2 linked regions of the Oryctolagus cuniculus genome follow. The protein of the gene in region 1 interacts with the protein of each later gene in a pairwise test. Links are inferred from orthologs where the notes say so. Each region holds a gene or a part of one and is shown in the gene's direction. Other genes may lie near its edges.

The links.
Region 2: the proteins of SSC5D (region 1) and SEC23IP interact in binary tests that used the Homo sapiens proteins (3 or more experiments, as listed by UniProt). The two-hybrid records come from large-scale screens. The link is inferred for Oryctolagus cuniculus from reciprocal best matches to the Homo sapiens genes SSC5D and SEC23IP.

The regions. Positions count from the first base shown.
Region 1 is NC_091449.1:3,474,652-3,480,647, reverse strand, and holds the start of SSC5D (soluble scavenger receptor cysteine-rich domain-containing protein SSC5D), read left to right. Parts: upstream 1-2,582; 5' UTR 2,583-3,110; coding exon 3,111-3,363; intron 3,364-3,826; coding exon 3,827-3,853; intron 3,854-4,080; coding exon 4,081-4,389; intron 4,390-4,586; coding exon 4,587-4,700; intron 4,701-4,894; coding exon 4,895-4,996; intron 4,997-5,311; coding exon 5,312-5,620; intron 5,621-5,996. Other genes in the region: ZNF628 (zinc finger protein 628), read left to right, coding at 1-33; NAT14 (probable N-acetyltransferase 14), read left to right, coding at 1,036-1,107, 1,409-1,957.
Region 2 is NC_091446.1:10,802,596-10,808,575, reverse strand, and holds the start of SEC23IP (SEC23-interacting protein), read left to right. Parts: upstream 1-2,527; 5' UTR 2,528-2,610; coding exon 2,611-2,773; intron 2,774-5,980. UniProt on the Homo sapiens protein: Plays a role in the organization of endoplasmic reticulum exit sites. Specifically binds to phosphatidylinositol 3-phosphate (PI(3)P), phosphatidylinositol 4-phosphate (PI(4)P) and phosphatidylinositol 5-phosphate (PI(5)P).

The DNA.
Region 1 (5,996 bases):
CTGCCCTCCGTCCAGCTGGTGCACACGTTTTGAGGCCCCACGGGTGTCCGCGCCCGCCTCACGCAGACCCCGCCTGCAGAGTGCAGGGCCTGCGGGCCAGGCTTGGTTAATAAAGACCGCGGATCTCTTCTCTCTCGCTTTCTTGGGGTGTGGGGGCTGGGGGGAGGGGGACAGCGCCCGGGCTGTGGCCCCGCCTGGGAGCCCGGAGCCGGGACTTGCTTCATGTCCTGGGGCGGGGCACGAGCTCAGCTTCCCTGGCCTTGGGGGGGGGACCCGAACCCCGGTTCTGCCGCTGGTTCGCTGCCAGGCACCCCCCGCCTCCCCCCTGAAGAGGGGGGAAGAGACCCTCGCCCCTCAGAGCCCTGCAAGCCGGGGCTGGGGTGCGGGTCCCCGGGGACCGGAGCTTGGGCGCAGCCCCTCCCGCGAGGGCCCGCGCGCCAATGGGAGCCCGCGCGCTGCCGTCACTGCCCTCCCGCGCCCGTTGCCCGGCGACGCGGGGACGTCGCGCAGGGGCGCGCGCCCACTCCTGCCCGCCGCGGCCGCGGCCCTCTCCCCGGGGCTCGGCGAGGTCACGTGGCAGAGTCACGGCTCGCAGCCTCGGGCCCCATCGGGAGGCCTGGCTGCGGTGGCCGAGGCCGGGAGCCCGCGCCCCCGCCCGCCCCGTTCGGCTCTGACGCCACTTCCGCCGGCGACCCCTGCCCGACCCCGCTCCCCCACACCTCGTGTAAGGTGCTCGCGGGTCCTCCTGCGACGCGAGGGGGCGGGAGACGCCTGCAGGGGCGGGGGTGGGGGCCCTCACGGCGGCCCCTGCGTCGGGGAAGGGTCAGGCGCTGCGCAGTGCTGGGGCCCACGGCCGAGCAGCACGGGGCGCGGGAGTCCCGGGGAACATTCGGGGGCGCCGCGGGCCTGAGTGCCCCGGGAAGCGCTGCTGTCCCCCGCACCCCGGCGGGCGGCCACCTGACGCTGATCTGCTTGTGTCCTCGGCAGGTGCACGACGCCAGCTCCCCGCCCGGGGGCGGGCGCCTGGGGGCCGCCATGGCCCCCAGCCACCTGTCCGTGCGGGAGATGAGGGAGGATGAGAGGCCCCTGGTGCTGGAGATGTTAAAGGTGAGCCCGGGGGCGGGGGCCGGGGTTCGCTGGGAGTGGGCTCAGCCGCCCCGAGCGAGTGTCCTCCGAGGCTGCCTCTTCCCTGGGTCCCCCTGGCTCCCGGCTGCCCTCTACCCTTTGCCAGGGGCTGGCAGCAGCTGGCTGCTGGAGGGCGCAGGCTCTGACGGGCAGGGCCACGGACCTGGATGCCCCCGCCCCCAGCTTCTCACCCATGCAGCCCCCACACCGCCTTCCGCTCCCACCTGGGGCCCCTCCCCCGCCACACACAGTGTGATGGACAGCCGAGGACCCCTCTCCACAGGCCGGCGTCAAGGACACGGAGAACCGGGTGGCCCTCCACGTGCTGACGCGGCCCCCGGCCCTGCTCCTCCTGGCCGCGGCCAGCAGCGGCCTGCGCTTGGTCCTGGCCTCCTTCGCCCTGGCCCTCCTGCTGCCGGTGTTCCTGGCCGTGGCTGCCCTGAAGCTGGGCCTGCGAGCCCGCTGGGGCTCGCTGCCTCCCCCGGGCGGCCTGGGGGGGCCCTGGGTGGCCGTGCGCGGCTCCGGCGACGTGTGCGGGGTCCTGGCCCTGGCCCCCGGCACCAGTGCAGGGGACGGAGCCCGCGTCACCCGCCTTTCTGTCTCCCGCTGGCACCGGCGCCAAGGCGTGGGCAGAAGGCTGCTGGCATTCGCCGAGTCCCGGGCTCGGGCCTGGGCTGGGGGTATGGGGGAGACGCGCGCCCGGCTGGTCGTCCCCGTGGCCGTGGCCGCCTGGGGCGTGGCCAGCATGCTAGAGGGCTGCGGCTACCAGGCAGAGGGTGGCTGGGGCTGCATGGGCTACGCGCTCGTGAGGGACTTCTGCAAGGACCTGTGACCCCCACCCCTGAGTGTCCCCGTGGCCACCGGGAGGATGGGGCGGGGCTGGAAGGTGGCGCCCGCTGCATGCCCGGTGCCCCGTGCGTGACTCCCCAGCACACCTGGGGCTCGGCCGCCGGTCTGTCCGCGTGGTGTCTGGGGGGGTCTGCACTTCTCAGGAATCCCTCTTCCCTCGTGGCTCCTGGGCCACCAGAGGTCACGGACCCACCCCCGCCCCCAGCCCAGGGGCACCTGTGTCCCCAGCCTGCCCCGCCCTCCAGGAAGGGACACCTAGCGGAGTTGGGAGCTGCACAGGACACGGCCAGAGGGGACAGGGCCTCCCGGGGAGAGGGGTGGGGGACACGAGGTGCTGTGGGCAGCGGGCACCCGGCCGCGGCTGGGGAGCTGCGAGGGGCCGCGGCTCTTCCTCCGGACCCAGCCATCTGGTTTCCTACACTGTTTGTTAATAAAGCCCGAAGTGGCCTCCTCTCTCTGATGCCTTTTCCAGTCTGTCTCTGGACCCCCGCCTCCGCCCCCCCCCCCCAGCTTCTGTCTGGCTCCTCCTTCCCCCGAGTTGACATTAATTGTGGGTGTCTGGGGGGAGCGGGGAGGCGGTGAGCTCACAGCAGCCCCGGTCCCTGCCAGTCTCTGAGTCACGCTCCCCATGACTGCATTTTTTCCAGCTCACAGCTGCCTGGTGCAGGGGACGTGTGTGTGTGTGTGTGAGTGTGAGTGTGAGTGCGAGGAGTCTGCGGAGCCCCCTTCCCGCCCCCTCCCCACTCCGGTTCAACGCCTCCGGCCTCAGATGGCCGTCTGAGGGGGTTCACGTTCAATCCCGCCGATGAGGAATGAGGGAGGGAATGGACGGAGCAGTTTTCCATTCTGCTCCCTCTAATCCAGGAAGTCCCTCCTGGTGTCTGGCTACAGGCCCTCTTGCTACCGCTCCCGGAGTCCCAGATCTGCCTGGCCCCTGACCCCAGCAGGGGTCAGAGCCCACTCCCCAGAAGGTCAAGGGAGGAGGCAGGAGAGTGGGTGCCCCGCCCGCGCCCCACGCGTGCACCCGCCTTGCCCCTGCCCGGCAGCCTGCCGTCCCTCGGCTTGGGCCTGCCTGGCCGTCTGCGTGTGGGTGTTAGCCGTTCACCCTCCCCCCGCCCGCCACCCCCCTCCTCCCCATGCCGGAGCCGCTCGCCAGCCCCCTCCCGCCCTCCGGTCCCCTGCCGCCTCCCTGCAGCCTCTCTTCCTCCTGGTGGAGCCTTGGGCCCCTGCCTGCTCCTCCGCGGGTCCGGGCGCCTCCGGCCGGCGCTCCCTCCCTCGCCTCCGCCCTCGCTTGGCTGCCGCCTGCTCCCCTCTCCTGCCCTCCTTCCCCTGTCGCCCCATCCCCTCCCCCGGACTCTGCAAACATGAGGGTCCTGGCCTGCCTCCTCGGTGAGTGACCCTTCCCCTGGGGACTCAGGGGATCCGGGCCCCCACCTCTGACCCCTTAGCACGTCCAGTTTAGGGACTGGGGCTTCCGGGAACCCAGTCCTTGGTGCCTCCAGATAGCCTGGCCACTGGCTGCCCTGCCCGGCCCCTCGGGGACTCAGCCTCCTGAGAACAGAAGGGGCCTGGCCCAAGCCCTGGTCCTGTGGAGGTCACGGGCCATCTGACCTTTGGCCAAGCAGAGCCCCAGGTGCCCAGCCCTGGCCCCAGGCCAGGCGTCCGAGCCCCACCCGTCTCAGGCTTGGTGGCCCTCTGCCCGGGCTCTGGCTCCCAGCTCCCAGCGTGGGTTTCTGGGTCAGAGGCGTGGCTGCTCCGAGAGTGAGTGTGCGTGTGTGTGTGTTTCGGGGTATTCGGGATGAGGCGGGACCCCCGGGGCCTGCCTCTCACGCTGTCCCCCAACCTCTTGCAGTGGTGCTGCTTGGGGTTCGGGCCATTGGTAAGTCCCAGACACTCTCCCCGCAGCTCCACGCCTCCCCGGGTCCAGGCCTGGCCTCCCGCTCCTGCTGGGGGTACCCCCGTTCCACCATGACCAGCACCACTGGGCACCCCAAAGTCTGGCCCCGGCCCCCCGACTGCACCCCACAGGACAGCCTGCACCCCCTACCATCACTCTGACCCCAGACCTCAGGGATGGTCACAGCCTCTCCTCTGCCCCCCAACCAGAGCGGCTGCGCCTGGCCGACGGCCCCCACGGCTGCGCCGGCCGCCTGGAGGTCCGGCACAGCGGGCGCTGGGGCACGGTGTGTGACGACGGGTGGGACCTGCGCGACGCCGCCGTGGCCTGCCGGGAGCTGGGCTGCGGGGGGGCGCTGGCTGCCCCCGGGGGCGCCTTCTTCGGGGAGGGCGCAGGCCCCGTGTGGCTCAGCGAGCTGGCCTGCCGCGGCGGCGAGGGGCACCTGGGCCTCTGCCCCCACCGCGGCTGGAAGGCCCACATCTGCAGCCACGAGGAGGACGCGGGCCTCGTCTGTGCAGGTGAGCGAGCAACCGCCGGAGGCTCCCAGCCCCCGGTCCCCTCCAGAGCCAGGTCTCGCCCTCCATCTGGGACCCCCAACTTAAACCGCTCCTGAGCCCCAGACCCCCCACCCCGTATTTCAGCCCCTGCCCATCTCCCTGGGGACCCCCATGAGCCCTCCGCCCCGGCCACCCTCCTCTCAACCTCTCTCCTGCAGGTCAGCGCGTGGCCGATTCAAGGGACGAATCACCTCCCGCCCCGGACGGGGACCCCTGGCTGGGGCTGCCTGGGGAGCTGAGCCCCAGCTCCGAGGAGCCCCCTGTGACTCATGGTGCGCCCGGAGGACCCCCACCCCGGCTCCACCTCCTGCTTCAGCTGTGGGGGAGGGGACGCACAGGTCCCCAGGCTGGCTCTCCTGGCCCAGGGCGTCCTCTGGCACTGTGGCCCTTGAGAGGGGGCTCCTGGTCCTGTGTGGGGGGACGGGCGGCAGCCCTGCCCCTGACCTCCTGCTGTCTCCCCTCCCAGCCCCCCGCCTGGCCGGAAGCCCCCGGAAGAAGAGCCCCCGGCCACCCAAGCAGGTCAAGTCCACCAGGGCCCCTTTGCTGACGGCTGGGGCCCCCCGACAAGGTGGGTGCCCTGCAGACATGACCTGCACACTGTGAGAGCCCAGGCCCACCGCGCGGGGCCCCGCCTCGGAGCCGCCCCTCCCTGGGACTCAGGGGCCAGCCTGGTCTCCCCTCTTCTTGCCGTCCCTGACGCCTGCCCCATCAGGGATCCTGCCTCAAAGATGGTGGCTATTTCCCCCGAAGGGGCCGGGGGGAAGGCGGACCTCAGACCAGTGCCCGCTCCGGGCCTCGGTTTCCCAGGAGGGGGCTGACTGCTTCTCCTGAGCTGTGGTCAGACCCCTCACGGCCCCTCCCTCCCACCCGTGCCCCCCTCCAGAGCGGCTGCGCCTGGTCTCAGGCCCCCACAGCTGCGCCGGCCGCCTGGAGGTGTTGCATGGCGGGCGCTGGGGCACCGTGTGTGACGACGGGTGGGACCTGCGCGACGCCGCCGTGGCCTGCCGGGAGCTGGGCTGCGGGGCCGCGCTGGCCGCCCCCGGGGGCGCCAGGTTCGGGCCGGGCGCGGGGCCCGTGTGGATGGACGACGTGGGGTGTGGAGGAGGAGAGCAGACCCTACGGGACTGTCCCCGGAGCCCCTGGGGCCGGAGCAACTGTGACCACAGTGAGGACGCCGGGCTGGTGTGCACGGGTAGGTGAGGCTGGCCCCTCCCCCACCTGCAGTCAGGGCCCCCGGGGAAAGGTGCTGGGGCCGGCCACAGTGAGGACGCCGGGCTGGTGTGCACGGGTAGGTGAGGCTGCCCCTCCCCCACCTGCAGTCAGGGCCCCCGGGGAAAGGTGCTGGGGCCGGAGCCGGGGCTCCGCTGCAGGGCCAGGGCTCTGCCAGGGCCAGGGCTCTGCCAGCGTTCCGGATGGAGCCGTAAGGCTAGGAGTGCCCTCCTCAGGGGTTCCCCCAGGGCGAGGAGGCAGGGAGCTGAGGCGGAGGGGGAGGAGTGACCTGGGGGCCGTGATGCCGGAGCAGGGCTCTGCTTCCTGCCGGGGGCTCCTGCCCTCCCTGTTCCTCTGGG
Region 2 (5,980 bases), on another chromosome or scaffold:
ATAGGCAGTTAGGCCCCTGAGCCTTGCTTACAGCAAAGACTTCAACCTTGCAGTTGTAATTTCTTCCTCCGCCCCTTTGCTGTGCGAATCTTCTGCCACCCGGAGCTGCCTTTTTGAAAATTCAGACACTCCAGGGCACAATCCTCTCTCTCTCTTTTTTTTTTTTTTTTTTTTTTTTTTTTTGTGAGAGAGAGAGAAAGGTCTTCCTTTGCCGTTGGTTCACCCTCCAATGGCCGCCGCTGCAGCCGGCACACCGCGCTGATCCGATGGCAGGAGCCAGGAGCCAGGTGCTTTTCCTGGTCTCCCCTGGGGTGCAGGGCCCAAGCACCTGGGCCATCCTCCACTGCACTCCCTGGCCACAGCAGAGAGCTGGCCTGGAAGAGGGGCAACCGGGACAGAATCCGGCGCCCCAACAGGGACTAGAACCCGGTGTGCCGGCGCCGCTAGGCGGAGGATTAGCCTAGTGAGCCGCAGCGCCGGCCAACAATCCTCTCTCTCATTCCCAGTCCCTGGGTGTGCCTTGCTCCAACTTACACCACCGCCTGTCTTCAGGAACTGGGAATTGCAGGTCTCCTCTGGGTTAAGTACCAGTTAACACACAGATGGTAACGTGGGGCCCAAGCGCCACACACACCCCTTGCTCTCAGCACAACTCAGCCTTGGAAAAGTCTCCAACTCAGAACAAGCCTGTTTGAATCCTGGTGTAGAGTTCAGTTATGAGTAATTAATTCAAACCGTAAGTTAGTTTAAATACATTTGAAATTAAGACTTAATAATATGTAGTATGTTAAGATTAAATGATATAAAATATGGGGCAACATATTAAAATCTTGGTCTTAAGAGCTTTCAGGACCTTCCTGTCGCAAGACCCGCCATTCCTCCATGACAGGCTTTATTTTAAGCCAGAAAAGACAGGCCTAAGGGTACGGGAATGAAGCTATTCCTGGAATTTAGATTCTTCCGCCTAGCCCTTAAGTTGCTCAAATGCACCAATAAAATGCATAAATTTAGGTAACTGCCATATAAGGAATAAGGAACTCGCCTAGGTGTGTAGTGACATATGTACTTGTTTACTTGAGTGGGTAAAAATGCTGGGAAGGTGAGGGACCAGGCTTCTTGCCTCAGCACTGGCCTACGTCTGCCTTTTGTGAGTTGTTTTGGGGAGGGTCTCAAACCGGACACAACACTGGCTGTTCTGCTTCCCACCCAGCTCTCAGCTAATGTGCCCGGGAGGCTACAAATGACCCCTCCTCTTGGGTTGTTCCTGCCACCCAGGTCGGAGACCAGGGTGGAATTCTTGGCCTCAGATGGGCCCAGCCCCGACCGTTGCTGCCCTTTGAGGATGGTCTGTCATTCTGCCTTTCAAATAAATAAAAAAGTAAATAAATCTTTTTGTTTGAGCAAAGCTGAGTCCAGTTCTTGTCGGGCCACCTTCCTATTGCAATAGGTAATTACTGGGCCGGCGCTGTGGCTCACTAGGCTAATCCTCCACCTAGCAGCGCCGGCACACTGGGTTCCAGTCCCGGTTGGGGCGCCAGATTCTGTCCCGGTTGCCCCTCTTCCAGGCCAGCTCTCAGCTGTGGCCAGGGAGGGCAGTGGAGGATGGCCCAAGTGCTTGGGCCCTGCACCCCATGGGAGACCAGGAGAAGCACCTGGCTCCTGGCTTCGGATCAGCGTGGTGCGCCGGCCGCAGCGCGCCAGCCGTGGCGGCCATTGGAGGGTGAACCAACGGCAAAGGAACAGCTTTCTCTCTGTCTCTGACTCTATCCACTCTGCCTGTCCAAAAAAAAAAAAAAAAAGGTAATTACTTAATATAATGTCTTACCATTGTAACTAGACTCTGGCTTTTAAAAAACTCTTTGACAGCAGGCAAATCGGGTCGTCAACTGATTTAATAAGCTGACACCCCACATGGGTGTCAGCACCCGCGGCCTGGCTCGCTACTTTGAGGCCTCTCTGGGAGTCTCCAGGACGCTGCTTGGCCATTTCTGTATTTTCCCCTCTGTAATCTCTAGCTGTGAAAGCGGACAACTACGGCTCGGACTAGGCTACTGTGGACAGAAAAAGCTCCTGTTTTAAAGGCACACGCCTGCAACCTCAAGCCCCTGGCTTCCCTTTTGAACGACGGCTTAAGCATGTCTCAAGTTTTGCCAGCTCTGCTCCTGGGCCACGGGGCAAGGGTCAGTCCCGAAAGGCACGAATCTGCGAGAGCGGCCGCTCGTCCTCGCTTCCCCTGGCCTCCCCAAATCTGTCCATTCAGCCATCTCTCCGACAGTTTTAGGAAGCCCGGAGCGCCCCTCGCAATCGGCGGCTTTCAGCGTCCATTCGCGCACACACCCAGGACGGGCAGCGGCCACCGTCCCCTCTCCCAGTCCCTCCGCCTCCAGCCTCGCTCGCGCAGCCGCGACAGGGGTCACGTGCTAAGCCCTGGCGTGACGCCGGCGCCGCCTTGTTATTTCCTGGCGACGCGAGCTAGGGGAAGGGAGGGAGCCGCTACTTCCGGTCCCTGGGCGCAAGTGCGGAAGTGCGCTGGCCCGAGGGTGACTGGTTTCCGGCCGGTGGCGCTGCCCCGGCTACCGGGAGACGTGTAACGGACGGTGGGCCGCAGCCATGGCCGAGAGGAAGCCTAACGGTGGCGGCGGGGGCGCGTCTGCCTCCTCGTCGGGCACTAACTTACTCTTCTCGTCCTCGGCCACAGAGTTCAGCTTCAACGTGCCCTTCATCCCGGTCACCCAGGCCGCCGCTACCCCGGCCTCGCTGCTCCTGCCGGGAGGTAGTCAGGGGCGGGCGGTCCCGCGCCGCGAGAGTGTGCAGGGAGGCGGGCGGGGGTCGTGGGGCGACGAGGCTCCCTCGGGAGGTGCGCCTTCTGGCGGCTTGCCAGGGCCCGCAGGGGGCACGTTCGAGCGGACCCGGAGCTTAGGGGGTCTGGGGGGCGCGCGCCGGGTCCCGGGGCTTGCTCTTCGTCGAGGGAACGCTGTGTCCCTGAGTCCCACTAGGAGACCCCTGGGATACGGCAGGGCAGGGCATCTCCCGGGGCGGACAGGGTAGCCATGTAGTACCTGTAAAGTGCAGGTAAGAGTGCAGTCTTTATTCTTCACGACAGTGCGGCCCCCACTCCTGTGTGCGCCCTAGCTCCCTAGCTCCTGGTTCGAGCCTGTGTATTGACCAGGGAGATTGCTTTCTGAGGATTCGGTGGCATAACCCGGACCGAGGTGCTTAGGGGCACGGACTGTATGGCCCTGCCAGTGACGTGCTGTGTGTCCCCAGGCCTTGCTGCTTCTCCTCTGGGTGCCTCAGTTTCCGGCCATGAGCAGTCTCAGGGGATTGTCCTGAGAAGTTAGTGCACCCAGTATAGCGCCTGGCACAAAGTGTTCAGTGTTCGTGGAATGAACATGTCTGCCTGTCCAGTGGGACTATGAGGTTGAAGCTTGCAGCTATGGCCGTTAACAGTTTTATTTTCAGGATCTTGTTGAGTGCCTTGCATGTAGATCCTCATTATATGCTGGCTTTTATAGAGTTTATTTATCTATTTAAAAGTCAGAGGAAGAGACAGATAGACACACACACACACACACACACACACACAGAGGGGCGGGGGAGATGGATCTTCCATCTGCTGGTTCACTCCCCAAGTGGCCACGATGGCTGAGGCGAGGTGGGAGCCAGGAGCTTCTTCAGGTCTCCCACATTGTTGGCAGGGACCCAGGTACTTGGGCCATGGTCTGCTGCCTCCCAGGCACATTAGCAGGGACCTGGATTGGAAGTGCAGCAGCCAGGACTTGAACTAGCACCCATAAGGCATGCTGGCGTGGTGGGTGGCAGCCTAACCCGCTGCGCCACAGTGCCAGCCCTATGCTGACTTTTTTCCTGTTGAATAATTTGTTCTTGCTTGGAGGACTAAGAAGAGTTTTCACAGAGAAGTGCAGAAAGGCTTCCTGCGAAGAGCTGCCCGTGAAGGTTCCCCTTCGCTCGTGTCCTGTTTCTCTCTGGTGCTGTACACAGTTGGTGATGCTTCGCTATTGGAATCTGAGCTGGGTGAAAGCCAGGAGTGTTGGTCACTGGTCTGTCCCCAGGGGCTGGGATGCAGTAGACCGATTGATATTTAGTAGGTATTTGTTGAGTGAGGAGGAGAGCGGGCAGCAGGAATGCTCGTCTTCGTCTTATTTAGGCAGCTCGATCGCGTCTTTGGTGAAGGAACGGCGTGGCTGGAGCAGGGCACTCTGGGAGGAGCAGGAATGAACAAGGCCACTCCTGGGGTGTTATGTTAGCTTCTGCTTCACAAACGGGGTTTGGCTCTTGTCTGTCTTCCTTGCTATAGAATATTTGGTTTGTGTGAGTCACTATCAATTAATACTAAACTTTTTCTTTTTCTTTCTTTTTTTTTTTTTTGACAGGCAGAGTTAGACAGTTGGGGGGGGTCTTCCTTCCATTGGTTCCCTCCCCAAATGGCCGTTATGGCCGGCGCTGCGCCGATCTGAAGCCAGGAGCCAGGTGCTTCTTCCTGGCCTCCCATGCAGGTGTAGGGCCCAAGCACCTGAGCCATCCTCCACTGCCCTCCCGGGCCACAGCAGAGAGCTGGCCTGGAAGAGGAGCGGCCAGGACTGGAACCTTGCCGGCCCCACAGGTGGAGGCTTAACCAAGTCAGCCGCGGCGCCAGCCCAATACTAAACATTTTCATTAGGCATCAGAAAATAGACTTGTCTTTGCAATTGTTAGAGTTTATTTATTTTTGCGAGAACACACATTAATAGTTTTAGAAGTAAAATTCTGTAGCAAGTGTTTTTTCCATCTGTGAAAACGTCTCATAGTTCGAAATCCATTCAGCGAATCTCCAGAGACAAAAAGAGCCAGATTTTTGGTAGCGCCCATTGATCATGCCAGTGGGAGATGCACAGGAAGTGGTTTCATACATTCAGGAAACGTGGATTTAGCAGCTTCTGCTTGCCAGGCACTCTCCCGCATGTCAGGACGCACCGAGGCCTGCCTGCAGCAGCCGCACAGTGTGGCTGGTACACGGATGCCCACCGTGTCAGCCTCCCTGTTAGCACAGCGAGGGAGAGGAATAGTACACTGCTGTGCTTGCGACGTGGCTCAGGCTGCTGGTCAGGGAGAGGATGTCCTTTAGGCCCTCAGGGCCTTGGAGAGGAGGCGATGCTTGAGTTGAAAGAGACATCGAGGGCTGGCATTGTGGCACAGTGGGTAAAGCTGCCGCTGCAGCCCTGGCATCCAGTATGGGCTGCTCCGCTTCCCGTCCAGCTCCCTGCTAAGGCCTGGGAAAGCGGAGGGAGACGACTCAAGTGCTTGGGCTCTGCCAGGCACTTACGTGACTGAGATGAAGCTCCTGGCACCGGCCTTGCCCAGCGCTGGCTGCTGGGGCCATCTGGGGAGTGAACCAGTGGGTGGACGATCTCTTTCCGGCTCTCCATCTCTGTAACTCTGATTTTCAAAATTAACGAATACATCTTTAAGAACAACAAAAATGATACGTAGATGTGAGTGAGGCTGGAGGTGTGAGAAAACCCGCAGACTTGGCAAGAGTTGGTGGTGGGAGGTGTGAGGCAGGATGGGCCTCTCCCCTCTGTCCTGTTGTGTGTCCCTGCCCACTGTGACAGTGTGTGGAGGAGAGGCCGCGGTAATCTGTGGCCCTCATACACCATTCCAGGGACTTTGTAGTGCATCCTGTGGGGCGTGGGATAGTGAAATCAGGTGTTTCAGAAAGACCAGAGTTTTCAAAAAAGTGTGTGTGTGTAAAGCTTTATGTATTTGAGGGGGCCGGCACTGTGGTATAGTGGGCTAAGCCTCTGCCTATGGCGCTGGCATGCCATATGGGTGCTGGTTTGTATCCCAGCTGCTCCTCTTGTGATCCAGCTCTCTGCTATGGCCTGGGAAAGCAGTAGAAGATGGCCCAAGTGCTTGGGCCCCTTCACTGTGTTGGAGACCCGGGAGAAGCTGCTGGCTTAGGATTGGCCCAGCTCTGGCC